Arabidopsis thaliana: one gene and its partners. The protein of the gene in region 1 interacts with the protein of each later gene in a pairwise test. Each region holds a gene or a part of one and is shown in the gene's direction. Other genes may lie near its edges.

Region 1 (6,919 bases):
TTTTCTCATCACAGGAAGTAACTCCAATCTTATCGCTCAATTTATTACATGTTTGGCTAATCGCTTCTCTTTAAAAGATTTGGGCCAGCTGAGTTACTTTCTTGAAATCGAGGCGACAAGGACGAAAGCAGGATTACACTTAATGCAACGTCGGTATGTTCTTGACTTACTTACCAAAACAAAGATGTTGGACGCCAAAACAGTCTCCACTCCAATGTCGCCAACACCGAAGCTGACGCTAACATCTGGCACTCCCATTGACAATCCCGGAGGATACCGACAAATACTTGGCAGCCTTTAGTACCTCGGATTCACAAGACCTGACATTGCCTTTGCAGTCAACCGTCTCTCACAATTTATGCACAAACCGACCGATCTACATTGGCAGGCCATGAAACGCGTACTCCGTTACCTTGCCGGGACTCCATCGAATGGTATTTTTCTTCGCGCCAAAAACCCGTTAACACTTCATGGCTTCTCAGATGCTGATTGGGCAGGTGATAATGAGGATTATGTTTCCACCAACGCATACATCATATACCTTGGCGGAAATCCCATTTCATGGTCATCCAAAAAACAACGTGGCGTCGCTAGATCCTCAACCGAAGCAGAATACCGTGCAGTTGCAAACGCAGGCTCCGAAATTCGATGGTCATCTCACTTCTCACTGAATTTGGAATACCATTGCCCACTACTCCCGTCATCTATTGCGATAATGTCGGAGCAACATATCTCTCCGCCAATCCAGTTTTTTATTCTCGTATGAAACACATTGCCTTGGACTATCATTTCATACGAGACAATGTTCAAGCTGGGATACTACGTGTTGCTCATATCTCCACCAACGACCAACTCGCTGATGCTCTTACCAAGCCTCTCTCCCGCCAACGTTTCACAGAAATAAATAACAAGATTGGAGTCATACAACTGCCTCCATCTTGAGGAGGTGTATAGAGGTTATGTATAGTTAAGGTATAATTGTAACTAGTATTACCCTAATCTCTCGTGTATATATATTGTAATCACAACCTCTAATGATAATTAAGCTTCACACTTTATATATCCTTCTCAAATTATTTGTACGTTATGTGCAAAGATTTTATTAATAATCGATGTGTTCATTGATTTTTTTAATAAAAAATAATGACCAAAACTCAATTATTTTTTTTAAATAAAAACATTAAAGACAAAATTTCTTTCATGGTCTGTGATAATTGAAATATTGCATGTTAAAAGATGACCTTGCTCTTACTTTTTTTTGTCAACAACCTTGCTCTTACTTAGAATGGATAAGTATATATGAAATAATACAAAACATTGTATTTTTTGTTATAAATTTTTGAATACTATAAGTAAGTATAGCGATATCAGATCAACCCGTTGAAGTTCCTAAAATTTACCAAGAAAAAGTAGGTTCAAATTTTTTACAGCGGCATTGTAAACAACGAAACGAAGACCAGCCAAAACAAAAATATGTCCAGTTAAGATCGATTTAACACACCTGTTTTACAATGTTACAAGATTCATTGTGGTTAAAATAACATAATTAGATGATTTAAAGGGCTGAATTAATTAGTATTTGGTCATGGATTGGGATGTGCAATTATATCGATGTAGAGAACAAACTTGAAAATGAAGTTTCAATCGTCAAAGACATTTAATAAGTTGAGAGACGAAAGACCTTCCAACACCTTCACATGGCACACACACACACACACACACTCTGACCGTTGTATCAGATCATGTGTTCACACATGTCAACAATTAAAGTCTTAAACTAAAAATATAAGCTAAATCCTCGGGATTTAATTATACTTAATTTATTTTCATTATTCCTATATACTATTTAATCATCTCAAGATATTTCACCAACAAGTCCAAGATGCTCTGGAAGAATAGGCTGGTTTTGTTTGTGTTTAACGAAAGTAAAAAAGATTATTATAATTTGTGATGTTGGGTGGATGAAGAACCAAAGGACACAATTTGCGATCCAAAATCTTTTCTTTTTTCTTTTGCGTGTTGGTCGCCGTACAAACGTCAATGTGATTAGGTCTCCGTATATATGCAAATCTGAATTTTAACTTTAGCTATTATTATTTGTTTTACAAAAAAGGTTTGTACAAAATCAATGAATGGTGAAACTATTAGGTAGGGACGTACGTAAGGATGTATCCACGAAGGACAACACTTTTTAATATATATTTTTTGCAATTTTAAAATATAATTTTGATGGCACACTACTGATAATCATGAGTCAGGTAAATTACTTTATCATGAAGATATTTCCTTAGGATATCCGAATTTGCGGTTCTATTTATAATAGGAATTGATTACGTCATGTGAGTATTTGCATATTCTTGATTTTACGGACCAATAACTCGAAAATGGGTCCATAGTTACTGTATATCGTTTGGTAATAACTGTGATCATTAAAATCGTAATTTGAATAAAATGTGTATAGTAACATAAAATATCGCACGATGGTCTCTGTATCTCATGTATTACATTTTAACATTTACTTAGCGTGGCTGAAATTTGGGATTGCAGTGATGGTTGATTTACCGGTTGTTCGAAATGTAAAACTACCATATGAATCTTATAAGCCACTGCAATTTACATGACGTATCACATTCACATATATTAGAGAAACTTAGATTCACTAGGTTAATTAGTGTTTCTAATTACAAAGTAGAAAAAAGTTTGAGATCATATAACATAAAATATTGTAGTCTTTTAGTAAAAGTGGTTGTAATACATGTGCGATAAGATTGTTTTTTAATAAATCCTTAAATGAGCCCTATAATTACTACTCATGTTATAACGAGCTAATAGAACATTACTTGACTATTACTTCACTACTTGTCGAGTTGAAGCTATATATTTGCACCTCTTGGTTTTGTTGTTGGTTTTCATATTTCTTTTTGAATTGTTAAACCTCGTATATGGTTTTCTGAAATCTTTATGTCCCGTGTCTTTAAATTTTAAATCTAAAATTTACTTTAAGAAAAGTACAATAACAACCCTATAAAAATTTGAGTCAATTGAGACGGAAGAACTATGTACTTTATAGATTTCTCAGTATTCTTCCACTGATAATAATCAGATATATAATCATTCCTAGAAATCTCACTTTAGTTCGTCTTATAATCAAACCCTAAGTCCTAGCATATCTCTTCCATACGTAGTCATCATTAAAGTGGTGTTTTTAAGATATTTTTTTCCCCCTGGAAAAGATAACGTTAGTTTTATAAGATAAAAGAAGATGATGATGTAAGAAAACAAATACTTTAGGGGAAAGAGAGATAAATGACAATCATTGTGTGGTTGAACGTATAATATAGTTACTAAACAACAAATAACTAATGAGCTATAGGGGTCGAAGTTTGACAACAACAACAACAAAAAAAAGAAGCTATAGGGGTCGAAAAAACTTTCTTGCATTGTGGATAATCTCTCAATACCAAAAGTAGATTTTGCTGGTAACGAATATAGTAGTCACAATTGTCCATTTCAGATGGGAGTGAATTTCCCATATGGGTTCTTTCGTGAAGGAATGGGTACATTATATTTGCTATTCAAGAACACTAATGGGACGACCCATTCTTAGCCCTGAACCAATCTGCGACATGAACCGGAGTTCAAAAGAACCAAATCGGTACTAACCGAATGAATCATGCAAAAGTAAATAAAAACAAAAATAAAATGTCAAGAGAAAGCATTTAAGTCCGTGAAAGTGAGAAAAAAGAGATAAGAAGTTGCAGTGTCCCTTGTCCACCCAATCCACAATTTCTGTTTTTATTTATCTTTTTTTTTTTTGGGCTATTTATCTACCTATACTTTTGTTTATTTCTTTGCCCAAAAAAAAATACTAGCTTTTTTTTTGTCTCCAATTTCTAAAGTATTATTTTATTTTTGTTTTTTTATTCTTCATGAGTGGTACCAAAATTGATTTTTTGGATCTATTAGTTAGGTTATCTTCAGCTATCTCTGATTTTTTTTCTTATATTCGTCTAAATCTATATACCATATCGTTTTGTCCATGGTCCAAGTTCAACGTGCATTAAATGTTATATTCGGTCGAATTTGAAAATATGCAGAATAATACATAAGCTTCGGTGGTTGAAGTCTTGAAGATGAACTCATATCAGTATGACTAATATAGTACTATTTGGTACCCATTGTTATAATTTCAGTGTTAAACGTTATCTATACAAATGAGCAAAAGGGAAATATACACACAAAAAATCAGTACTAACTATCTTTAACATCATTTTTTCAAGTATATGCATGATGTTTATATCGAATTATGGGTAGTTGGACAAAAATAAACCTCTGTAAGAAAATATCGAAAAAATATTAGTTACCTATCGTTACGAAATTGAAACGTTACAACTTACAAGTGAAAAACGACTCGAAAAATATTACTTTGAAAATCTGCCGTTTCAAACTAATATTTTTCTCCATTCTTACAAACGTTACAAACATATTAAATTATAAATTAAACAAAAGAAGACAACACCTTACGTTTCTTTTTCAGAAAGTGCAATTTATGTAACTGATATTTTTTATTTGATTACACAAAAAGAAACTTATTAACTTCGGAACGATAAGTTATTCTTTGACAGTAGTAGTATAATCAAGTCCTAAATAAAAGTCAAACGCTACAACATTCGATGATTAACTGCTAAAAACTATGGTTTATTGGCTTATCACATGATCTAAAACGAGTAAGAAAATTAAATGCAACTTAAATTATATGAATCAGTAAGAACAAAAACAATGTCAAAATCATCGGTCCCTGATCTCCGGTGCCGGCACCCACCCGTTCAAATCAACTATTTAATTTCCGACCATCCTATTACTCTATTCCATTAAATTTTTAAACTCCAAAAATAACAAAAATTAAATAAAGTAAACGTCAGAGATGCCCCAGGCAACCACAGTCAAATTTGCAACAATATGGTTACAAATCTTTAAATAATATTATTATTCTTATCATTAATCAACTCCCAAATGACAGTCCAATTAAATAATCACAAAACATCATAAAAGTGACCAAAATTAAATAATAACAATTGTTTTTTGGGTTTCACATGTTTTATAAGCAAAGCCAGTGTGGTGGACCTAACTCTTCACGCTGTCCCGAAAAAGACTCTTCTCTTCTCTCTTCCTCTTTCCTTCACACAACTCTCTCATTCTACTCTCTGTTTTTTTTCTTTAATCATAACATTTTTTTGAAGAACAGAGATTCTTTTTGTTTGTGTAAGAGATGGGAAATTGTCAAGCGGTTGATGCGGCTGCGTTGGTTCTACAACATCCTGATGGCAAGATCGATAGATATTACGGTCCTGTATCCGTTAGTGAGATCATGCGTATGTATCCTGGTCACTACGTTTCTCTTATTATTCCTTTGCCGGAGAAGAATATTCCGGCGACAACAACAACAACAGATGATAAGAGTGAGAGAAAGGTTGTGAGGTTCACGCGCGTGAAACTTCTCCGACCAACGGAGAATCTTGTACTTGGTCATGCTTATCGTCTCATCACTTCACAAGGTTTGTTCTTGTATATTTGTTTTTGTTTAGCTTGTGTCTGTTTGTGTTCTTGTAATGGGTTTCTGATTAAATTAGCGTTTGATTTGTTTTCAGAGGTTATGAAGGTTTTAAGAGCCAAGAAGTACGCGAAAACAAAGAAACACCAAAGTGAAACGAGTAAGGAGAAGAAGAAGCCATCATCGGAGAAGAAGATTGATGAAGAATCCGACAAGAATCAGAATCTGGTACGGAATCTTTACTTAGAATTTAAGATATGGTTTAGCTTCAAGAATCAATTTTCACTCGAATAATTAAAGTAATTAGTTTAAAGATTTTACTCTATTTCTTTCCCCAAATTAATATAAAATTATGAAAATTAATGGGTTTGTGTTTTTCTTTGTATAGGAAACGAAAGATGAGAAGCAACGTTCAGTGTTAACGAATTCAGCTTCATCGAGATCAAAAACATGGAGGCCATCATTGCAGAGCATCTCTGAAGCTACGAGTTGATGTTTGGGTTTTACGTGAGGGACAAGAAACGTAGTCTCTGTGTGTGAATCATTCAGAAGATGGAATCTGAAGAAGAAAGAGATATAAACATTATTGAATAAACTCTTCTCTTATGTTCCTTTCTGGTTATAATTTACATAGGAGATGAAAATTTTATAGATTAAGATGTAAAAAGAACTATGCAGAGATTAAGAACTAAGTCCCTTTTTTGTCCTGTTAATGTATATATGTGCTCCATGTGAAGAAATCAATCAAAAAATAGATTGTAAAAACATACGTTTTTGTTGGTGTTTACTGGTTTACACAAATTCTTGGAATAAAGTTCAAAAAACTTTAGTTAAATGAGTCCAAAAACATTTGATTTAGATGGTTATGTGAGGTATAAATGGTTGTAAGAATTGCATTGAGTTGGATTGATCATTGGTAGGTACACATCCTTTCATGCATTTATGGGATGGTTTTTTAAGAAAATAACCAATTTTATTTGAGATTATTAGTTATTTTTCTTCAGAGAAGTAGTAGACTTTCTCAAAATTTATATTTCTTTGAATGGAAAATCAAATTGAATTTACATTGTCTTTTTTTTTTATAACTACTTTTTTCATTTTTTTAGCAAATAGTATAACATAGATGAGCTAAGTAAACCAACAAGGATGGGCATTTGCATCAAACCCATACCAAACCAAAAAATTGAACCGATATTATGAATCAAGAATTTAAGATATCCTTGAAATAAAAAATCTGAAAATCCAACTGAAGCCAGCCAATGTTTTTAGACTCTATAAAAAGATATCTGATTAATAAATTGTTACTTTTAATTTTAATTTTTTTTTAATCCAGAAAACAAAAAATCAATGGTCAAAACATACATAGAA
Region 2 (8,593 bases), on another chromosome or scaffold:
GAATAATCATTCCACAAGCTTGACTAGTTTCTCGAATGGATGCAGGTTCTTAGACAGTGTTGACAGCAAACCCGATCCTCTTCTTCCCGAGTAATTCTTCTTCTGTTTTCTGATAGTTTCATTTCAATAGACTGTGAGATGATTAGGTCTGATATGTTTGCTTTTGTGACTACTTGCAGAACAACAGGTCCGGTGAATGCGACATGGGATCAATGGTTCGAAGGCCCTAAAGAAGCAAAACGATGTGGCTGCTCCATTCTTTGATCTTCCTTTCCTTCTCTCAAAATATTTTTGTCTCTACTTCTTCCAGAAGAGTGAGTTTGTGTTTTTACGTTCCCGCGGCAGTGAATTTGATGTAATTGGCAAAAAAAAAAATTGATTCATTTGTGCAGTAAAAAATCTATTGATCTTGATGTGTCTCTTAATTTAAGAAGACCACAGTGCCAAATTCACGCCACCACAAGAAAATCTAGCACAGTGGCCGTCGGTGATCCCCACACCAATGCATCTCAGTTCCAGATTGTCTTGGAAAAGTTCTCGTTTCTCGATGGTTTACATGTCGTGTTCGGGCAAGTTGTTGAAGGACTCGACGTGCTCAGGAGCATTGAAGACGAGGTTGGAACTTTGAACAGGATTCCTTCCAAGCCGGTGGTTATCGCAGACTGTGGTGAGCTCTGAGAGAGGCTACAATGGTGTCTTGTCTTGTTTTAATGGTTGCTCTGTTTTTGTTTTTAGTTCGTTTGGATTTTGAGTTTGGTGGTAGTTTTAAATCTGAAACAAAACAAGATTTTTTTCTTCCATATATGAAAATTCTGGACACAGTTTCAATGAGAGCAACCAAAATAGTTGAAGCTTGTTACATAAAAGTCAAGAGGATACAATGTTAAAGAACATATGAAGGAGACAAAAGAAACAAAGAAGAATAGTACGTACTCTCTCTGATTCAGTTCTGGTTTCCCCTTAACTCGTGGCTTTACCGGTAACTTTTTGGGCAATCCAACCGAGCCCATCATACAATCCTTCTCCAGTAACCGCACAACTTGCTTGAATATGCCAATCATGGTTCTTGATACTGTGAAGGTTAAGTGCATCCGTGATCTCAGCAGGAGTCATTGCGTCTTTCAGATCCTGTTTGTTTGCAAAAACTAGTATGACCGAGTTTTGAAGATCCTCATGACCAAGTAACCTGGCTAGCTCATCTTTCATGAAAGAGATTCTGGCTCTGTCTGTGCTATCTATAACCACAATCACAGCATGTGTTCCACGATAGTATGTTGCCCATGAAGTTCTTAGCCTATCTTGCCCACCAAGATCCCATACCTAAAGACAACATATCATAAAAGTAAACATCGCCTCAAATATTCGATTGCCAGTGTCCAACAGTTAGTTTTTGACAGGAAACAATTCAAACTTTAGTAAGTTTAGTTACGTTTATATTCATCATTGAGTTTTGACATATAAGAACACATGCAGATTGTCATAAAACAGAGATGAATTCATCTCAGGCCATGACTTTGACCACTGTATAAAGATGTTCCAAACAGTCCTCTGGCAAAAAAACTAAGCTAATGGGAAATAGCAAACAGTTCCTCCGGTATAACAAACAAGCTAGATAAACAACATCTACAAAAATTTACTATACAAAACCATAAATCGCACATACGAAAACGTTCATTATGAGTTTCTGACACCTTCTCAACCAATCATGACAAGAACTTAGACAAAAACATCATCCATTTTTCAACGAGAAAAATGCACACACCCAAGCAAGAAACATAGCTAGGGACAATAACACAATCAAAAGATGGCAATGGCAAATTTAAGAAACATCCATAAAGTTTCAAACTTCTAAAACACGTCCCTAGATAAGAAGCTAAGAAACAACTTCACCCAAATGAATAAAGAAAGAGTCCAGTACCTCAAAGCGAATATTCTTGTAGACAAGCTCTTCAACATTGCTACCAACAGTAGGATGAGTAGTAACAACTTCACCCAAATGAAGTTTATAAAGCGTCGTCGTTTTACCAGCATTATCCAAACCAACAACAACAATCTTATACTCTTTTGCAGGAAACATCATGAACCAAAACCTCGACATGAATGCTCCCATCTCCTCCAATTTCTATCACAAACAAGATCCTAATCAAATAAAACACATCATTACTTTTACGATCAAATTGTTCTACAAACAGAGTGAAATCGAGAAACCCTAAAGATACATCCTTTAAATTGACCCATCAATTTTACAAACCCAAGTAATTGAATCAGAGAAGCCCAGATCAGATTTGGATACAACGATCCCAGATTCGATAAAGTTAACCAAATCTAAATTATATATATACAAATCGGGAAATTTGTGATCAAACCTTGAATCAGCTAGAATCTGAAGATTGCAGAGGTAAGAATCGGAGATCAAAAAAAGTTCTTCTTCTACTATTTTGTAAGCTTTTGAGGTTCCTTCCTTAAAGCAGATGGGTGGAGAGAAGAAGAAGAAGAAAAGTATGCGGGAAACAATGTCAAAACTGTAAATATGATGATCTAAATTATTAATAACTTTTAATATAACAAATATTAAAATGAAAACTATATAGTAATGTTTTCTTTTACTTACCCAAACGGCTGCAGCCTCTACCGTAATGGCACCGAACACGTCACCGCCATTAGCCACGACGCCAAAGACGAACATTGTTGAAGACTTGAAATCCACAAAGATGTTTTTAAACGAGAAAAAAAAAAACTCAAACGGGCTTAGGGCCTTTCCATATATTTTAGATTATAACAATTACATTTTCTCGGCCCACAGAAGTATATAAAATTAAATAGAAGTAAATTATATTGAGGATTTAAAATAACAAATTTAATTATAATTTGAAATCATGGTTATAATACGATCGTGTGAAATGTTAATTAAATGCTTATATTGATTATTTTATTATTAAATTTGTGCTAATTTTGGTAACGAATCTTATTTTTGTTATTGTATACGATGATTTAAAATATATATATATATATATATATATATATATATATATATATATATATAATAGTTCTAGAAAAGTCTAATTGGATTTTTTAGATCCTATCATAGTTGATAGTTCTCTTTTTGTATATGGCTAGCAATGCGGAATCGACTCTCTACATTAGATTCAATGAAGGCTTGGAATGTGAACTTGAATCGAACATGTGTGTTATGTAACACTCTTATCGAGACACGAGAGCACTTGTTTTTCAGCTGTAAGTACTCGTCGGCAGTCTGGTCCTCCCTAGCGAAACCACTACTCTAGTGACGATTCTCTACAATATGGCAAGCTCTAGTCATTATTATTACTTCTGATCACTGTAACAGAATCCATATATTCTTCCTCTAATACAGTTTTCAAATAATGGTTCATTCGATTTGGCGAGAACGCAATAAAAAAAACACACAATAAAACTCTGATTCTTATCACACATCTTCCTAAGTGAATAGATAAGCTGGAAAAAAAAAAAACTCTCAATCATTTGAAAGGAGAAATATAGTAGATACGAACCAAATCTCCAAACATGGTTTGCATCTAAAAGTCCTTAAAACCTCTCTTGTATAATCTAATTTCAAAACAATTTTGGAAAAGTTACATTTGATGTATCCTAACTTTATTTTTTCTTGGTCGAATTTAATATTTTATTAAAAATAATAATAGTAATAATCACAAAATCTAATTTGATCATTCTTAGGTGGGTAGGTACACTTATTTTACATACAGCCTCGACGGCACCAAAACATAGAATATATATATAAATACAAATACAAATATTCCAAATATAACCTCTCTCCCAAAGTCCTATCATATCAGAAAAAAAAAAAAAAATCCAAATTCAACACTCTCACACTTCGATATCTCCGCCTTCATTCTCCTCAGAGCCAACTGTCCTGAGATTTCGATTTCGATTTCTCCGATCTCTCTTCCTCCGTCGCCGGCGAAACCATGTCTCAGTCTATTCAATTCTCCACTCCTTCACACACTCCTCACCTTCTCCATCTCCCTCACTCACAATTCAACCGTCCTCTCTCCTCTATCTCCTTCCGTCGCTTCCCTCTAACAACCATCAAATACACTTCCATCAGAGCCTCCTCGTCATCATCTCCTTCACCGGATCTCGATTCATCGTCCTCATCATCATCCTCGCAAGTACTTCTCTCACCTAACGGTACTGGTGCTGTGAAGTCTGATGAGAGATCCGTTGTCGCTACGGCGGTTACGACTGATACGTCTGGGATTGAGGTTGATACTGTGACGGAAGCTGAGCTTAAGGAGAATGGATTTAGAAGTACGAGGAGGACGAAGCTGATCTGTACGATCGGACCGGCGACTTGTGGATTTGAGCAGCTTGAGGCGCTTGCTGTGGGAGGTATGAATGTGGCAAGGCTTAATATGTGTCACGGTACGCGTGATTGGCACCGCGGTGTGATTCGTAGTGTTCGGAGGCTTAATGAGGAGAAAGGCTTTGCGGTTGCTATTATGATGGATACTGAAGGTAGTGAGATTCATATGGGAGATCTTGGTGGTGAAGCTTCAGCTAAAGCAGAGGTTGTTTAATCTCTTCTTATTTTGATTTGAATTCGATGTAGACATTGCTGTGTTTGTGATTTAGATGTTTAAGCTTTGGTGGTGATGACATTTTTACAGGATGGTGAGGTTTGGACTTTCACTGTTAGAGCTTTTGATTCTTCTCGTCCTGAACGTACCATTAGTGTTAGCTACGATGGTTTCGCTGAAGGTATATGCAATTATGTTTATGTAAAAGTGGAAGTGAAAACATTAGATGAATATTATGGTGACTGCGTATGAAATAGGAATCATTTGGTCTTTGTGTGTGGTGTAGATGTAAGAGTTGGGGATGAACTTTTGGTTGATGGTGGGATGGTGAGATTTGAAGTGATTGAGAAGATTGGTCCTGATGTTAAGTGTCTATGTACCGATCCTGGATTGTTGCTTCCTCGAGCTAACTTGACGTTTTGGAGAGATGGAAGTCTTGTACGAGAGCGTAATGCCATGCTTCCAACAATTTCTTCCAAGGTTTGTAATTTTGTATCTTCCCTTTAAGCTTTGAATTATGATTCACTTTACTTGGTAAATTTGGGAGGGATCAAAGCAATGGTGAAGATGTACACTTTTGGAAACTAGATGAGTCCATGTTAGCAAAACAGATGATACCTGAGGGAAAACATACTCATTTTCACTGATGATACCTCAATTCTTTATATTCAGGACTGGTTGGATATTGATTTTGGAATTGCTGAAGGTGTGGATTTCATTGCTGTATCGTTTGTCAAGTCGGCTGAAGTCATTAATCACCTTAAAAGTTATCTTGCTGCTCGTTCCCGTGGAGGGTAAGTAAACATGCTCAATATCAACACATCATACTACTGTACAGGAAACATATGATCTACTTTGGGATTGGGTTTTGCGTCATGTATTCACCATCTTTAGTTATAGTTTTATTTTGATGTTGTATTCAACTATGATGCAGGGAAATTGGAGTGATTGCAAAGATCGAGAGTATCGATTCACTGACCAATTTGGAAGAAATTATTCTAGCATCAGATGGGGCCATGGTTGCAAGAGGAGATCTGGGAGCTCAGATACCTCTTGAGCAAGTTCCAGCAGCTCAACAGAGAATCGTCCAAGTATGCAGAGCTCTTAACAAACCCGTCATTGTCGCTTCACAGCTATTGGAGTCCATGATTGAGTACCCAACTCCAACCAGAGCAGAAGTTGCCGACGTGTCTGAAGCAGTAAGACAAAGATCAGATGCATTGATGCTCTCTGGAGAATCAGCTATGGGACAATTCCCAGACAAGGCGCTCACGGTTCTAAGGACTGTCAGTTTAAGAATCGAGAGATGGTGGAGGGAAGAGAAACGCCATGAGTCTGTACCGCTTCAAGCCATAGGCTCTTCATTTTCAGACAAAATCTCAGAAGAGATCTGTAACTCAGCTGCTAAAATGGGTAAATTTAGGTTCTTTGTTTTCCATAGAAGGCAATATGTCTTTAGTGTCTCATTTTACTATCCAAAAACTTGCAGCTAACAATCTTGGAGTGGACGCGGTTTTCGTTTACACAACGAGCGGACACATGGCATCACTGGTCTCCCGATGTCGCCCGGACTGCCCGATCTTTGCTTTCACAACCACAACCTCAGTGAGAAGACGCTTAAACCTACAATGGGGACTTATCCCATTCCGTCTCAGCTTCTCAGACGACATGGAAAGCAACTTGAACAAAACATTCTCGTTACTGAAATCAAGAGGTATGATCAAATCTGGTGACCTCGTGATCGCAGTCTCGGACATGCTGCAATCAATCCAGGTAATGAACGTCCCGTAATTCTCTCTCTTTATACAATTTCGCAATCCCGCAAAAGAGTGTTTTGTTTCCTACTTTTGTTACTGTTTTTAGACTACTCTTACATTAGATTCCAGAGGCATCATCATCTTCGGTTTGTTAACAACAGTAATGTGTAAGCTTTGTTTGTAGTGTGTACTGTTTGTTTTTGGTTTTCAATAATATCAGTAATCTTATTCAAATATTCGATTCTATCATTTAGTCCTTTTGTTTTATCTTTTTGTTAGGATATATATGTAAACCCAAATAGGATGAGTTCGAATATATACCATAACCCTATATTATAAATAGTGTATATATAATCACAATTAGAATCGCCTCTCCATTAGAGAAGATATTTGAACAAACATGAAAAGTTGCAAGAGACCTCGGATGAAGAATCAAGAGAGAGATTTTTATGAAACTCCGTCGGATTGTTCGGAAGAAGAGATTCAACGGAGTTGCGAGTTCGTGAAAAAAGTTAAAGAGTTGGATGATAAGACAATCATCGTTAAATTTTTAAATGCAATGAAGTCTTATCGATCTAAGTCTTTAAGTTACATCGATCTCAAAACCAAAGTCGCTTCTATTCTTCGTAACCACGACGCTCTGCTCCAAGAATTCCATCAGCTTCTTCTATTAGATTCACCTATCACAGAGAAGGATTGTAACTCGGCAAAATCAGACGTAGAACGCACGGTTGAGTTGATGAAGAAAGTGGAAGGTTTGGGAAAGGGTTTACACGGTGCGTTCCTAAATCAGCTGGTGTTTGGCGGTGATATTGTGGATTTGGTTGAACAACTCGACGTGATTCTCTGCGATCACGCATCTCTTAAAGAGGAGTTCATATTGTTTCTAGTTGATTCCCGTTTACTCAAAAAACCGAAACGTGGTTTTGAGGCGGGGGCAGAAGAGTATAAGACTAGACTTGAAACTGAAGAGGAATTATCATCCTCTGATGAGTTTTTAAATGGGAAATACGTTTCAAAGAGTCAGTATGATCTGGATCAAGTGAAGAAGAAGAGACTGATGCAAGAGTAAGAAGACGAAGATGACTGATGCGAAAGAATTTAAGGTAAAAACGAAGCTATGACCGTCAAGAACTAAAGAGCAATGTGAACAAGTGAAGAGAGTTTTGTTTCTTTTATTTTTCTAGTCTTTTTTTTTTATTATTGATTTGTGGCTACATTGTGATTGTGATTGTGAATCTCGTTATGTTTCTTTGCATTCGAGTCTTCCAATGTTGTTTTCTATTCACCAAAAAAAAAAAAAAAACGTTGTTTTCTTAGGAGGGCGTAATGAATCCTTTTTCAAAGTTTTTATGCACACTTGATTTAAAAACGTGTTTAGGAAGTTTATGAAAACTTCTGATACACTTTGGTTATCAAAAAGTTCATGAAAACTTCTTAAAAGACTCTGATACCATAAACATAACAAACACAATGCCTTTAAATGTTCTTGTCCTTTTTGCCTATTTTCGTCAATTTTCACACTTAACACACTTATACATTGATGCCTTCTTTGCTTGCTACGTAAACTCGGGATTCTACATTCTAAGGATGACGGGCTTATTTTCTAATGTTTGGCCCATTTAGGCCCGCAGGTTTTAACCCAACATCTTCGAATATATAATCATCGTCAATATATTGCTTTTTGATGTTGTTATTGCTATGGACCGGTGAGAGAGATATATTAGTTCGCCCCAATCAAAGTTAAACCAAATTTTTTTGGTCGAGGCCTCGAGTGAAACAAAAAAGATGGTGCTGTGAGTTACAAAAACAATCACTTATTTGTGTATAATTTGTAGAACTACTACACTTATATGTTATTTTTTCCAAGAATATCTCTATTTTAGGTTCAAATATATAAATTTACCCTCAGAACTAGTTGATAAATTTAATTTAAAATAAATAAAAAGTGTTGATCGAAAGAATAAAAAAATCGTAGCTCTATCTCAAATAGTAATTTCTTTTTAAAAGTAGTATTTCTATTACAAAAAAAAAGAACAAATGTCTGTTTATCTTTTTGAAAGTTATTCAAAAAAAAAATTGGCAATTGATAAAATTTCTAAAATGTGATATAAACTACTTTTACGGACTTACTTGTCACAACGGTTCATTTTAATATCTTTCCGAAAGTTTTGGGGTCCTCTTGACCAATCGTTTCTATGTTCAATATTCCGAAATTAAACCGTGAAACTCACTCAAAGAATGATTTTAACTATTTTG
Region 3 (7,524 bases), 5.7 Mb from region 1:
AGACAAAATTCATAAGAACACACACACACACATAGAAGAGCAATCTAGATGAAAAGAAAACCAAAGCCTAGTTCTTTTTGTCTTTTCCTACATGCAAAGACGTGCAAGAACATGATCAAATGGCACTGCTAGACATAACTATCTCAGAGTCATCATTGTAATCAGCTTTACTCTGTAATAAAAAATCTTAGCTGACAATAAAACATAGTAACCAGAGTCAGGGATTACTGTGATGAATTTGAGAATTCTTAATTTATTATAAGGAAATTTCTCATATTTCCATATTTAAAGCCGATACTAAATCCTAACAATCACATTTCCATTAATTTCATTAATCTAGGGATTCAAAGATGAGATTTTTTCTAGTTCCCAGTATAAATTCACATGATTTAACCGTTATACAGCATTATGAATTGAGGGATTAAGACAAAAACAGCAACGTGAGACAATCGAACAAAACTTGATAAAACAAAACTAGCCAGAAGGAAACAAAACTAAAGACGAACCTACCAGAAGGGTACATTGGTGCAACAAGAGAAAAAAAAATTCAACATTGAAAAACCAAGTCAAAACATAGCTCAAAGTCGCGATCAGCAAAATCGCAACATGGCAACAAAGATATGAGGAGAAAGAAAAAAAGATGCGATCTTTGTTCTCATTACCTTAGAAAATCAAGACGATGTTTTTATCGGGAAAGCTTGGAAACGAGCGTTGAGGAGGTCTAAAACCTGAGAGAAGAAAACAGAGAGACGGAGAAAATAGACGTGATGGGAATGTGGGTTGATTTGATCTTTTGATTATTATTAGCGGATAATAGTAAACTAATTAAACGATTAATTTTTCTCTAATGATTAAAAATTATCTATACAGAGTAGGAAAAAAAAAATTGGGGTTTGTTTGTTGTACGGAGGGAGAGAGCGCGAATGTAGGAGGACGCGCAGTAATTAACAAGTCTTTTTTGGCTTCTCCAATCGTTTATACGGGTTTATTACACGTGGCAAATCCTTGCCTAAAATTAACGAGTATTTTAACAGATTATAAATTGGATTAAGAAACGATTAACTTGTAACATATAATTGGGGTACGACGACCAACGGAACATTTTAATATGTATCATGTATGATTTGGGCACACGTCGTGTTGTGGTACTTTACTTCCACCGTCTACAATATTATAGAGTTAGCATACTTTATACTTAAAACCATAGGTTATGAAAACAAAACCAAAAATATAGTAGTGGTAAATTGATCTTTAATTTCGTTCAAAATAGACAAGAAAATACTTCAGATTTAAGGAAAACGTTGTAGTGATACATTTATTTATCATATCGAGCTTTAATATAGGAATATTTGTTTTTATTGTTGTTACTTAATACTTATTAATTAGTGTTGGGATAATTTTAACTGTTTCAAGTACCGATCTATCACACTTCAACGCAGAGCAATCGGACGTATGAAAGCAAAAAGATTTCCCGCATCTATGTTAGCAAGTGGTCTCTCATATCAATCAAGGCCTATTGTGCCTCCACTTCCGAAATTCACTCGTTCGTCAATAGGTTATATTATTAATTCTACACATGTATCACAAAAATGTGCAGATTTCAACTTGGTGGTGAATGGTGATATAATTAAGGTTTGTATATCATGTCACATAACTTGCGTAAATTCCATATAAAGTAATATAAATAAAATGGTGGTGTAAAGCAGAGGAACGAGTCCTATGATAGAGAGATGTTCAATTGTTCGTGGGTCATGTGGCGTAAAATTGTTTGTTTCCTTGTTTCTTTTGGCGTAAACTGCAAAATTGCCAAAAATTCGATGAAGTCACAACCTCTTGATTTGTATATATTGTCACGTCGCTATATCACCACAATCAATTCCTTTCTTTAAAGGACTAGAATTCCATTACTCATATCATTTCCGTTATGTTAGATCCACAATAAATGATAATAATTAAATTTAGGACCCATTTGAATCTTTAGGTGCTGATTAAACACCCATCTCTAAGATCACAAAAGCAGAAATTTTACATTTTTAGTGACATATAATCCTTTTTTCTATCATCAAACATTAGAAGTTGGATGTTAAATGTTCTACAAAACTTCACAGGTGTTGTTGGAAGTTCCAAAAAAGAATGTCGTTTGCTATACAAAAAAAGAAAAGAAAAGATGAAAAGTAACTTCCTGCGTTTAAAGTATCACGCTGCGTTGCGGTCATGCAAACGCACCAACAAACAAAATAGTTTCAAAACAAAACTTGAAAATGTGGGGTCCACGTAAGAATCTCCATGGAAGAACTTGAGCCAATCAGAGTGCAAAAACGGAGATGACAGTATATTTCAACCAATAAGGAGGCAGAATCAGATCACCAGTGGGTTCCATTATAAGTTTCCTCTTGACTAACCACCAATAGCTAGTTTTACACAGAACTTAAATTTTTCATTTTTTTTTGTCTTTTAATATTTCAACAAGATCAATTTTATTATTTGATATTAACCATCTTCAACAGTGTTTGCCAACGAAAAAAAAACACCATCTATAACAGTGTCTTCACCAAACTGTATTTCACTATGACTTATTTTCCGAAAAGAATGATGAAGTTTAGTACCATACATGAACTAGCGGTTAGATCGTAATTAAGAATTTGAGGATCATATTTTACTATATCATGAAAACGGAGAGAGCGCAAAATTACAGACATATTGGTTCAAAATTTTATTTAAGAATAAAGTATATATATGGTTCTAATTTTTCAAAAAAAAAGTATATGGTTCTAAACATTTATTTGAAAGTACGTAATATAATGAAAACAAAAATTGTAAATTTGAAGTAAAAAACTCGTGAAAAGTCCTCATTCTAAAATACCATGTACACGTACATAATAAACTATGAATAGAATTATGAGTTTTTATTTATATTTCTATCTCCACTCCAAATAATTTAGACCACACAAGGTAATGAAAAAATAATAATTCTGAAAAAAATGAAAAATACTGCCGGGAAATCGAGACGCCACACACACTAGTGAATTCGTTGCAAAACCATATATATTACAGTATTTTGTTCTTCTCAAGGCCTCTCTCTCCATCTCAGCAACTCTCTCACTGTGTAATATACACACACAATGGTGGTCGATGTAGAGAGCCGAACCGCGAGCGTGACAGGAGAGAAGATGGCGGCGCGTGGCTGTGATGCGTGCATGAAGAGATCACGTGCTAGTTGGTACTGTCCAGCCGATGACGCTTTCCTATGCCAAAGCTGCGACGCCTCGATCCACTCGGCTAACCATTTAGCGAAACGGCACGAACGTGTCCGGTTACAATCATCTTCGCCGACGGAGACGGCAGACAAAACGACGTCGGTATGGTACGAAGGATTCAGGAGAAAGGCGAGAACGCCTAGGAGCAAGAGTTGTGCGTTTGAGAAGTTGTTGCAAATCGAGTCAAACGATCCTCTTGTTCCGGAGCTTGGTGGAGACGAAGATGATGGCTTTTTCTCGTTCTCCTCCGTAGAAGAAACCGAGGAGAGTCTGAATTGTTGCGTGCCTGTTTTCGATCCTTTCTCAGACATGCTGATTGATGATATAAACGGCTTTTGCTTAGTTCCTGATGAAGTCAATAACACTACTACTAATGGAGAATTAGGAGAAGTCGAGAAGGCAATCATGGACGATGAAGGTTTTATGGGGTTCGTGCCATTGGATATGGATCTTGAGGATCTCACTATGGACGTGGAGAGTTTACTTGAGGAAGAACAACTTTGCTTGGGATTCAAGGAACCAAACGATGTTGGAGTCATCAAAGAAGAGAATAAAGTAGGGTTTGAGATTAATTGTAAGGATTTGAAGAGGGTGAAAGATGAAGATGAAGAAGAAGAAGAAGCCAAGTGTGAAAATGGAGGATCAAAGGATAGTGATAGAGAAGCATCAAATGATAAAGATAGAAAGACAAGTTTGTTTCTGAGATTAGATTATGGAGCTGTGATTAGTGCTTGGGATAATCACGGTTCGCCGTGGAAAACCGGAATCAAACCGGAGTGCATGGTAAGTTGGTGTCTCTAGCTATATCTCTCATCTCTATGTTAGTCTTTAGTAGTGTCGAGTTCCGTTGACTTTGAGCTGATATATATTGATTATAAAAGACGAAATAACGTTATAAAGTTCACTGATCCAGTTGGGAGGGAACACGTGTCTGCCTCATGTTGTGGGTGGGTACGAGAAATTGATGTCGAGCGACGGATCGGTGACACGTCAGCAAGGGAGAGACGGAGGAGGATCGGACGGGGAGAGAGAGGCGAGGGTTTTGAGGTACAAGGAGAAGCGGAGGACGAGGTTGTTCTCAAAGAAAATAAGATATGAGGTTCGGAAACTTAACGCTGAGCAGAGACCTCGAATCAAAGGTCGTTTCGTGAAGAGGACGTCACTTTTGACGTGATTTGATTTACTTTAATCAACACTTTAAAGATCTTGTAATTAAGACCTTTGAAGTAATTGTCGTAATGTACTGAATAATGAACTGAAACTCTTGGGGCCGATGGTTGTGTAGACTTGTAGCCGGCAACTATGATTTTATAGATTGATTGATTGAGTAATTTATTGTATATATCAAATGAAAACTCTTTGTTTATCAAATGAATTGGAGAAAAAAGCCATAATGTGTGATAATAACGAACACTAAAAAATTCGTAGCGAAGACATGTTACAAAGAAAACAAGTGTAATTAAAAAAAACAAAAAAAAAACAAGAAACAAGTTCAAATTAGAACATGCCATTTCCAACAATTTACAAATGAAGCAAGAAATAAAAGCCATTAAGGCCTAGTTATGGCTGAATAGCCCATCACACAATTAAAAAAACCAACATAAAGAGCCCAACTAGGCAACTACTTAAGCCAACCGGTTTGGGTTATCAAGTACGTATTTTAATCGTTAACCAGTAAAAATCGTGAATTTCAACCGACTGAATTTGGTTAACTTCACAAGGTTGACGCATAGCTCACGCGCCGCCGACTTGCTACGATTGACATGAGCGGATACGAGCGTAAGAACACGACGGCGAACTCAATCACCATCACCAAGCGGAAGCGTAACTCGATTTCGGAACAATCGGAGAACGTATACGAGAAATCGAATAGGAAGGAGTCAATAACCTTAAAACCTCACCGTTCTTTTACGCCGGGATTCAGCCAGCGTGATTGTAAACCTGTCAGACATAGTAAGTCTTCTCTCCGCCGGCGACGGAGAACTAAGGAGAAGATCTCGAGTTCCGTTGAGCGCGAATGGGTGTTTTCCGCAAACAATTTTGAAAATCTAGCAGGTCTGTGTGCATTGCAATCACACTGAATAATGCACTTATATGCTTTTATTAGCTTCACGAAGTATCACATTCCGTACTTTGAACACATTTTTATCTTATGTGTATGAAAAACTTGATATCTCCTTTTCAATTCTTCAGATAAATTAGTATTAGTTTCGTACAATCTACTTGGTGTTGACAATGCGTCGAACCACATGGACTTGTATTACAATGTTCCGCGGAAGCACTTAGAGTGGAGTAGACGGAAACATCTCATATGCAAGGAGATTAGTCGTTACAATGCAAGCATCTTATGTCTTCAGGCAAGTTCCAGGGGATTGCCTAGATCTACACTATTTAAGTTTCATTGCATTCTCATGTCCAAATTTATTGCAGGAGGTTGACCGCTTTGATGATTTAGATGTTCTTCTTAAAAATAGAGGATTTCGAGGTGTTCACAAGGTATATATACGAGTCAAAAGCTTTATTACCTTGTATGCAATGGTGCCTTTTTCATACATTTAGTATTTTTTAGAGTCGGACTGGAGAAGCGAGTGATGGTTGTGCTATATTTTGGAAAGAGAATCTGTAAGTTCAGTTTTTTTCTATTTAGGATCATTTTTAATGTGGTGGGAAGTCTCTATATGCTGGAGTCAGGATCAGGAATCTAGCCATTTGAATTGTCTACAGGGAATATCTCTCTTTTGGAACGAGATAAATTAGATCTTCTAGTTATCTGTTTTGAATGTTTCGAAATTGTTAATGGTAGGTTCACGTTGTGTTATGTTATCAGCTTTGACCTTGGCTTCACAATATATTGTTCAAGGCTGAAAGCTTTGCTTTCTATTGTTCTCGATGTTATTTATTTTGTATTAGACTCTTACTCTACTAGTTTCATCATTTATGTTATATTTCTGCTGTGAATGCAGATTTGAACTTCTAGACCATCAACATATAGAGTTTGATAAATTTGGTATGCGAAACAATGTTGCTCAACTTTGTGTTTTAGAGGTATGCACCGTTTTAAGTTATTTCTGTATTGTCGTCTTCCCCCTCTTTTCTCCTCTGTCTTTTCTTGATTCTAGAAGCACAGAGATATGACAAGCTTAATTGTGGGCATTATTTTATATATTTTTCCCTCCTGTTGTGTTTTCAGCTTTGCAGGCTAATTGCTTAATTTTCTTAGTTTCAGCCCTTGCAATTAATTAATTTACTTGATTGTCTATTACGGAACAGATGAACTGTGAGGAGGACCCAAAGTCTAAATTACGGGTGCGATCATCAGAGTATGTCTGAGTTCTGTTCTGATTCCTTTACTGGAGTGAATATTGAACTTACTTTTAAGATCCTTACTAAATTTTATGCGCACTTCCATGTTTGGTTGATTTATGCAAACTTCTACTAGTCCTCGAAGGCTAGTGGTTGGGAATATACATGTCCTATTCAATCCTAAGCGTGGGGATATCAAGCTTGGCCAGGTATGTCTTGCTAGATCCTTACAAAATTCTGATAAAAACTGGCTTATCCATAAAATCGGTAGAGCATTTCTGTCACTACACATCCTGAGTTTAGAAATGTCAATTTTTTAGCTAGTACTATTTTATGGTATTCATCAGTACATCAATGCCTGTCAGTATTGAAACTTCATTGAAATTCTAAGTAGCTCGCTCATTTCTTGATATTTGATATGTCATAACTTATAGGTAAGACTCTTTCTGGAGAAGGCTTACAAGCTATCACAGGAATGGGGAAATATTCCTGTGGCGATTGCAGGTGATCTGAATAGCACTCCACAGGTGATCTCTACCAACTTTTGTTTTTTTTGTTCTAATACTTATTTTTTAGCTGAATTCTAAAACTTACTCTGGATTTGCTGTACAGAGTGCAATCTATGATTTCATAGCTTCAGCTGATGTGAGTTCCATTGAGGGTTCTGGACTCTTTCTTTTACATTTCGCCTGGTCATAATTTTTTTCCTTTCTTTACTGGGAAAGTTAGAATGAACTCTTTATATTCCTTTTTTAATTTTGGACAGTTGGATACACAACTTCACGATCGCAGGCAAATTTCTGGCCAGACTGAAGTGGAACCAAAGGAGAGGTCATTCAGAAACCATTATGCATTTAGGTAGCTTGTAATTCACCGGGGTCTTTGGTTTCTCTAAATAATGTATCCATATTCCTTTTCTGCCTACCTGATGAACGGATAGATTGCTTATATCTCTTCTGTTTAC
Region 4 (7,859 bases), on another chromosome or scaffold:
CTAATGCGAAGAGAAGTGGTTTTGAAAGAGTGGTTTAAATGGGAAGAGAAAAGAGGATGGAGCTGGATTTGGTGTTGGCATTCAGATCAATACAGAGATAGTCAACTAACCCCAAAAGCACAATCTAATGAGGTCCATCTCTAAACAACTAACTAAAAAAAGTTCTAAAAGATCTTTAAAAAATTACTTAATTAGCAAGATCAAACACCTAGAAAACGATATTAAAAATCTTATGAAACAGCTTGCCAGCTTGTCTCTGATTTAAAGGAAATAGCAAGAAATCAAAACAAAACAAAAACTGCAGTGAGCAATCTTAGAAACAAAACCACAAATAATGTGTTGAAAGCAAAGATGAGTTTCAGACCGAAACACATTGGCAACTTGAGAGCTGATAAGACTTGGGGACGCTAGGCACAACAACATTGCAGCTCTCAACCTCCCCCCAAATCTGGGGTCCGAAATAAGACATACGCTCCTCCAACCTAATCACAGCACACCAAATTTCCTTCTCTTGGCTGCGAATAAGGGAATACCCGTCTAGAATCATGATCCACTCGCTCCATATAATTAACAGTTTCCCACCATAGTTAACTAACTGAATCGTACGGTAGCCACAACCACGCTTATCGTATAGAACATCCAAACCCATAACTCTTTGCCACGCTCGATGACTTGAGCTATACCACGTGTACTTCCTGCACACATGATCAGCAAACATTATATTTCCTATAACGCACCAAGGTCGTCCAGTTATAGGTTTCATAACTTTTTCTATACCGCCGGACCAAGGTCCAGTTATGGGTTGTAAATCCACAGACCCCACGTCTGGTAGCCATCTTCCTTCATTCGGATCATATGCATAGTTGTTACGCTTGGTGATTACGTATAGCCTTTCTCCAGAAACTGCAACTTTGTGATTCGAATGGACGGCATAATTAACACTAGGGCTAGGCAGCGGATTCCAAGTCTGAGTCTTTAGGTCGAAAACTTCACCACAATTCATGGATTCTTCCTCACTCTTTCTGCATCCTCCTATTACATATATATTTCCGTCTAAAAAACAAGACTTGGCGCCTACCCTTGACACTCTCATGTTAGGAGCACGACGCCACCTGTGAGTCCAACAATCAAGTACAAAAACAGCTCTGGATCGCTTGCCCTTGACAGTTCCGCCGATTTTGTAGATTTCGGTACCAGCAGCTACAGTGGTTGAGTTTACTCGAGTACGAGGATAAGAGGAAGAGAGCCTTACCGGTTCTAAACTTAGTTTACCCTCAATCTCGGCTAGGGTGAACCAGCGATGTTTTTTGGGTAACCACAGGCACACGTACGGGCAAGGCTCTGTCGCTCCGATGTGGGATCGGGCCGCGTAGATCTCTGTAGAAGAGAGAAGAGAGTAAAAGCTTTTGGAGACTAAAGAGAGGGAACGGTAGTACGATTTAGAGATCAGGGCTAAGAAACTTAAAACGATTTCATCTGGAAGTGATGAAATCGACATAGATAATGGAGTTTGAGCTGTGAGAATCGTCTTCTTCGTTTCCTGAGGTGGTTCTACTTTGGCGGTGTCCATAGCAACGATACCGTGTTTACTAAGCTCAGGTTTTAGGTCTCAAATTAGGTCTTATATAAGACAATAGTAAAAAGGAAATATTTTCTCCTTAGTTAAAATTAATGAACAAGTCCCCTGAATTAAAATAAAATACCAAATCGCCCGTTTTTAAAACAGATTTCAGTATTGAACCCTGTTAAAACCGGTTTGAAAACTAAAGTAATATTAAAAACGATAACAATTAACAACACATCGTTATATATACATTATGTTGTGTTACTGGAATTTCGGTGTTCAGTTTTTTAAACCGAACTCACCAAATTCGTATAAGAAAATCTATGGATTTATCGTATAAAGAACTTTTCTATGCTGCTTTCAAACTTTTTTTAAGATCCCTCCCTTGATTTTGGTATACCTTCAAATGTACATGTATACACAAAAAAAAAATGAAAGACAGAAAGATACACTTACACAATGTAACTTGCTTGATGATTCATAGTCATAGGATTTGAGACTTCTCTAACAATGCACTAAACTAGTCTCTTTCTTGGAAGATTTCTTGATGGAGACACGAGTAAGCTTTAGGGGAAAGAAGAATTTATCATGTTTCAGGTGACTCGTTCACACGATTGTGCAGGTATACTGACAATATTTCTATTTTTTATTAGAAAAATATGGATTTGGTCATAAATATCTAATTTTCTGGAAAAAAAAAAGAGAAAAAAGAAACACCAACGAAGACAAATGAATGAAGAGTAAAATAAAATTAGAGAACAACAGGGAAAGAAAAAGACATGTTGCATGAATGAAAAAGAATGGTCGTATTAGAGTAGTTTGCTAAATGATTTATTTAAAGAATGTGCATTATAGTATTAACAAAATCTTTTCATGTCTTTTTAAAAGCCAACGCTCTAGAGTTGACTCTATGTATTTCTTCTTCTTCTTCTTCATGATATGAAGTCTGACCCCCAACAAAAAAGGATGAAAGTATTTTTGGGGAAATGGTCATTTATCGCTTCTGGATAAGCTACTCGCATTTCGAAACTATATTGTACTAATACTAAAATTACGACTTACGAAAGATGACACAATTAATAACAAAAAGATGCTTTTATCAGATTCTATAATAAATGTTGTTTCCTATCGGATCAACATGCATGCACTTTGACAAATCGGGTAGAAAATTTCCTTCCTTCGGATTGAATCATAAAAATATGTTTTACCTAAGCAATCTCCATAATATTATCAGAAAATTTGGTATCAACACTTATTCGCAAGTAATGATATTTATATATTTGATTTGATTTATACTTATCTGCAACAACAATTAGAAAAAATACTAAGAGATCCAATGTAAACATAACTTTATATTATCTATATTTATTAATTGAAAGATGTCTAAGTTTTATTGGTTAAGTAATAATGGACAGCAAAAAAAAAGATAACTTCTATGCATAAAATTAGACAAGAGATATAGCAATATGGTTAAGAACTTGAGATTCTTAAGAACCTCACGTGTGATGCAAACAATGACACGCAATAACGCGTTTTAACTGACAACTTTCTTTCTTTATTTTTGTCTCTTAAATTTCTTTTCCTTTAAGTGGTTACAGATTTCTACTTTCGATTCTCGTCGACTCTAAAAATCTCACTCGTATTTGTATAACCGTCCCACGTTGTTGTCCACTTCTGGAAGATAAGTGAGGTGTGTGATTGATTGCCGTTTCCAACCTCTTTTCAATTAAATGCTTCTCTCTATCTTCAATTGGTAATATTGGCTTTGGTCAATTCATCATCATCATCATATTATTATTATACCAAAGACAATGTCACATGAACCTTATAATATACACAACTGTTATACCTTATAAACAAAAATAAAAATCAACATTTTATTCATTTTTCTCCGCTCATCACATTTCTCTCCCTCTTCCGATTCTCCTGGTATATCTCTCTCTCTCTTTCTCTTTATTTCTCTGTTTGTTGATTGATTGCATTTTTGTGTGAATTAAAAGTTTGGTTCTTTGATCCACAAATAGATTCTTGATCTCGATCAGAATCGTGGGTTTGCTTTTGTTTTAAGAATTAATTCAATGATCGATGATGAAACTGATTGATACTGTTTTATTGTCATATGCTCTGTTTCTTTGCTCTGTTCTAAGGAAATTTTGTGACAAACGACAATCATGGAAAACGAAATTTCAACCTATTAAAAAAATATTATCCACAAGGGTGGGCCTTGGAAGTTTTTGTCTGTTCAAGAAAACAAGCCGGTCAAAATAATCTACCTTTTAACTCTGGTCTAAGTCAATAACTGAGTGCTTCCACCGTTGAAATTTAGTATCTCACTGGAAAATTGTACTTGGAAATTGCATGGTCGGTCCATGAAAGTATTAAGGAGAAGAAACAAACCAAAAGTCGTCTTTTTGTATCTCTCTATACCTATACATTTTATGATTTGATTGGTTTTGTGGGGATCAATTTCACTATTACTCGTAAGAAATTTCTTTATGGATATGTTTTGGTGAATCTCTCTCTGCTTCTCACAATCTCCCTCTTTACTTTTTTTCTTTCATCATATAAAGGGTTGGTGAAATATGAATGGAATCCAATTTCGTTGGGAGGTTGTTGTATATTATAAGTTTTTAGTGTCTAATCTTTTTGAACTATTTGTTGAAATTAAGGTGTAAAGGTTTGACCACTTACTTACCCTTAATGTGATATGTTCAGTCCTTTGACACCACAAATTTGAAGTTCTTGTGTTGTTCTTTGAGTTTGTCTTCTTTGAGCTGATTAGTTATCTTGATTTTGTTGCAGTTGTTCCATTCATCAAAAAGCTATGGATTTCAATAGAAAAGCTCATCCAGATTGCGTATATGCGGATAATCCTTTCCATGAATGTGCTTCAGCTTGTTTAGAGAAAATTGCTCAAGGCCATGTCAAGAAGAACACTAAGAAGCAAAGTACTTTTTTCTGCTTTTGATTTTGCCATTTTAAAAACTTTTCCTTTATGGATTCTGATTCTTGTTCTGTTATGTTACAGGTTCAAGGCTTCTTAGCTTCTCAGGGAGTTTCGGTAGGAAAAAGAAGGAGTCGAATTCACAACCGCCTACACCGCTATCCGCAAGGCCTTATCAAAACGGCAGAGGCGGTTTTGCAAATGGTAATTCCCCAAAGGTTCATCATTCTGTAGCTCCACCTGCTTCCGTGAAGAAGAAGATTGTTTCTGAAACGAAAAATTCTTTCACTTCTTCATCATCCGGTGATCCGGATGATTTCTTCAACCATAAACCAGAGAAGAAACCTTCTCAAACCATTCCCCTTTCATCAAACAATTTGGTATCTCATCCTTTACTCTCTTCCATGATTTCGACCACCATATCTTTACCATATTTGTAAACATCAAGATTCTTGTATCTTATGAAGGTTGATCAAAGCAAAGTGGTATCACCTAAACCGGGAATACAAGAACACAATGGGAAGATTGGAGAAGGCGGCGAAACTAGACTCTTTAGTTTCCTAAGCCTTCCAAGATCGCCTGGAAAAGAGAGCAATGATGATTTTTCTGATGATGATGACGAAAACAACAATGAGATTGGTGTAGAGCTCGATCTCGAATCAGTAATGTCTGACACTTTTGTCTCTGTCGGGAAATACCGAGTCAGATCGGGTTCATCCACTATACTAAGTGCTGTCATCGAAAAGCACGGAGACATTGCTCAAAACTGTAAGCTGGAATCGGATTCAATGCGATCACGTTACCTCGAGTGTTTATGCTCACTGATGCAGGAACTTAGGTCAACCCCGGTAGGGCAGTTGAGCAAAGTCAAGGTCAAAGAGATGCTTGCGGTTCTCAAAGACTTGGAGTCTGTGAACATTGAAGTAGCTTGGCTACGTTCTGTTCTTGAAGAGTTTGCGCAGTCTCAAGAAGATGTAGAAAATGAGAAAGAGAGGCATGATGGTTTAGTGAAGGCTAAGAGAGAAGAGCTTGAGGCTCAAGAAACGGATTTGGTTAGGATGGAGAAGGAAGTGGTGGAAGTGAAGCGGCGGATTGAGGAGACGCGGGCTCAGATGGTTGAGATCGAAGCAGAACGGTTGAGGATGGAGAAAATGGGATTCAAAATGGAGAAATTTAAAGGGAAATCGTTTATAGATGAGCTTCTGTGAGTTTGAGTTGTGTGTGATGTTGTTAGTAGTAAGCCAAGGGTAGTAGGTAATAGCACAAAATCAAAAATGCTCTAATAAATGAGTTTTTAAGGTTAGGGTTTTTAAGTATTATGGGAAAGCTGGTATTTATTGGTAACTTATAAAAAATATTAAGATATTTGGTTGTTGCTAATAAATACGTTTTGATTTGTGTGATGCATTTTTCTTTGGTTATGTTTTTTTTTTTTTGGTTTCTTTCGTTTTCTATAATGGGAAAGATTACAAGTTGCCTTCGAGTTTGGAAAACGAAAGATTGTTTATTAAAAATTAAATTCACAACTATATTTATTGTGTTAGTTATAGCAGAACTTGTTGAATATTGTATAGTATAGTTCTTTTAAATATGTGTATAGAAAATGTCAAAACAACACTTTTGCAAAATAAAGGAATGAATAATTTTGTTGAGTTCATTCTTTATTACACTCAATTTGAGCTCTACTCTTCGATTTTTTTGTTACTTTGTTTTTGTCGAAAAGTAGATGTTATTCCATAACGATGATTTTTAGGGGATTTTAAAGCCAAATATATCTTATGTTTTTATGTTATTCACTAGTTGATTTTGTTACATAATTGTTAGATTTGATATTTTTAAAAGTAACAAAGTATCGTACTCTGCTTTTAAACCGTTTGCAACGGACAAATCAATCTGTTATTTGCGACAATGCTACTGGGCTTCAGTTACTCATGTCGGCTTTACACCGAGCCCACTGAAACATGGCCCAACGGGAAGCTCCCCGTTGGGTTTGCTCACGAAACGAAGATTTAAGTGTAAACCGGAGAAGTTGAACCAGAAACCTCCAGATAAAGGTTTGTGGACCACAAATTGTGCTTGGTTTTGTTGCACAATGTGAGTAAGTAATTATAAATAACCTCATTGGAGATTCAGATCTTAACTAATAGACAGCAGTTACTTCAATCGTCTTTACTAGAAAAAATAAAATAAAATCTTTAAGTAGGCTCCAAAGGCTTTCACAAGATGGCAAATGACCTCAAAAAAACAAATTAGTTATCACGTGAAATCACCTTGACAGCCAATTTTTCCAGACACATAAAAAATAATCCGTAACATGGAATGATTAAAAAAGTTCGCAACTTTTAAAAAGTCTGAATTAGTGATTTATATCCAAAGTTGAAGATGTTTTTTGTCAACATATTATGACATCATTTCTTTCAAAAAAATGGACAGACAACTAAGTTTCACACTCAGCTGCTGTCTGTTTCAAGTTTATGTTTTTAGCTATACAGCATCAGATCGGTTAAAGTAAATCGGTTTAGGGATAAGCAGAGGGGTGAACCGGCCGGTCACATAAGGTATTTTGCAACTTGCAAAATTGCTATTATCCAGAACCAATAAAGCAATAGCTATTATAAAACAAAATTTAAGGCCCAACTATATGATGGTTCATACTTCATAAGCTGCTAGGGTTTACAAAGTTCAAAATGAGTGGACCATATTGAAGCTAAGAAGAGATAACGAAGAATCGATCATAACGGCTAAGTATTTAAAATTAAAACTGAGACACTAGGCGTATTAACCAGTAAAAGCGTGAAGGCCATCGTTGTGGTCCTTCTCTCTCTCTCTGTCTCCTCTGCATTCACTTTTCTGAAAAGACGAGACGTGAATTATTACTACTATTCCATGTAGACAAATTCGTATTTGTATTCATACTATTTTAAAGCCAACTCTCACTGTCGCAATTTACATCCCATAGACAAATTTAGTGCTTATTGCTTCCATGAGCATTTTCTTTTTTTTTTCTCTCTTTAATCAAATGCATTATTCAATTAAGTTGGTAAAGTCTTTTATACAAATAATTTCCTAATACATCCAAACACATATGCGTTTGGGTGGGTCTAAAGACTCTTAGCCAAAAGGAGTCTACTATATAACAATAACAATAACAATACGGTAACTAGACGCAGAAAAGTTACCCATGTGATAAACACATGAGCTACGCGACACGCGGCCTAAGAAAAGTTAGAGTGCGGTGGAAAAAATGGGTTTAATGTCTCGTTTCTTGTCTGGTTGTTACAACTCTATTGGCTCCACTCCTTTTTATCCTTTCACAAAAACAACAAAAGGTACTCGCACGAGTTCTTTTTC

The links.
Region 2: the proteins of AT1G60010 (region 1) and PKP-ALPHA interact in a two-hybrid assay, tested with the Arabidopsis thaliana proteins (one large-scale study listed by BioGRID).
Region 3: the proteins of AT1G60010 (region 1) and BBX16 interact in a two-hybrid assay, tested with the Arabidopsis thaliana proteins (one large-scale study listed by BioGRID).
Region 4: the proteins of AT1G60010 (region 1) and AT4G35110 interact in a two-hybrid assay, tested with the Arabidopsis thaliana proteins (one large-scale study listed by BioGRID).

What each region holds. Positions count from the first base shown.
Region 1 is NC_003070.9:22,094,785-22,101,703, reverse strand, and holds AT1G60010 (D-ribose-binding periplasmic protein), read left to right. Parts: upstream 1-5,083; 5' UTR 5,084-5,269; coding exon 5,270-5,555; intron 5,556-5,648; coding exon 5,649-5,779; intron 5,780-5,939; coding exon 5,940-6,044; 3' UTR 6,045-6,419; downstream 6,420-6,919.
Region 2 is NC_003074.8:8,135,404-8,143,996, forward strand, and holds PKP-ALPHA (Pyruvate kinase family protein), read left to right. Parts: upstream 1-3,781; 5' UTR 3,782-3,965; coding exon 3,966-4,568; intron 4,569-4,667; coding exon 4,668-4,758; intron 4,759-4,863; coding exon 4,864-5,057; intron 5,058-5,249; coding exon 5,250-5,371; intron 5,372-5,511; coding exon 5,512-5,990; intron 5,991-6,066; coding exon 6,067-6,368; 3' UTR 6,369-6,649; downstream 6,650-8,593. Other genes in the region: AGG2 (G-protein gamma subunit 2), read left to right, coding at 46-90, 180-264; ARFC1 (ADP-ribosylation factor C1), read right to left, coding at 961-1,320, 1,919-2,110; AT3G22961 (Paired amphipathic helix (PAH2) superfamily protein), read left to right, coding at 6,735-7,406.
Region 3 is NC_003070.9:27,776,092-27,783,615, forward strand, and holds BBX16 (B-box type zinc finger protein with CCT domain-containing protein), read left to right. Parts: upstream 1-2,892; 5' UTR 2,893-3,122; coding exon 3,123-4,040; intron 4,041-4,170; coding exon 4,171-4,431; 3' UTR 4,432-4,718; downstream 4,719-7,524. Other genes in the region: AT1G73875 (DNAse I-like superfamily protein), read left to right, coding at 5,021-5,312, 5,451-5,614, 5,688-5,753, 5,827-5,879, 6,221-6,302, 6,528-6,577, 6,697-6,769, 6,995-7,087 and 2 more.
Region 4 is NC_003075.7:16,710,517-16,718,375, reverse strand, and holds AT4G35110 (phospholipase-like protein (PEARLI 4) family protein), read left to right. Parts: upstream 1-3,584; 5' UTR 3,585-4,059; coding exon of another isoform or gene 4,060-4,073; 5' UTR 4,074-4,150; coding exon 4,151-4,173; exon of another isoform or gene 4,174-4,366; coding exon 4,367-4,512; intron 4,513-4,592; coding exon 4,593-4,888; intron 4,889-4,975; coding exon 4,976-5,716; 3' UTR 5,717-5,961; downstream 5,962-7,859. Other genes in the region: AT4G35120 (Galactose oxidase/kelch repeat superfamily protein), read right to left, coding at 359-695, 738-1,570.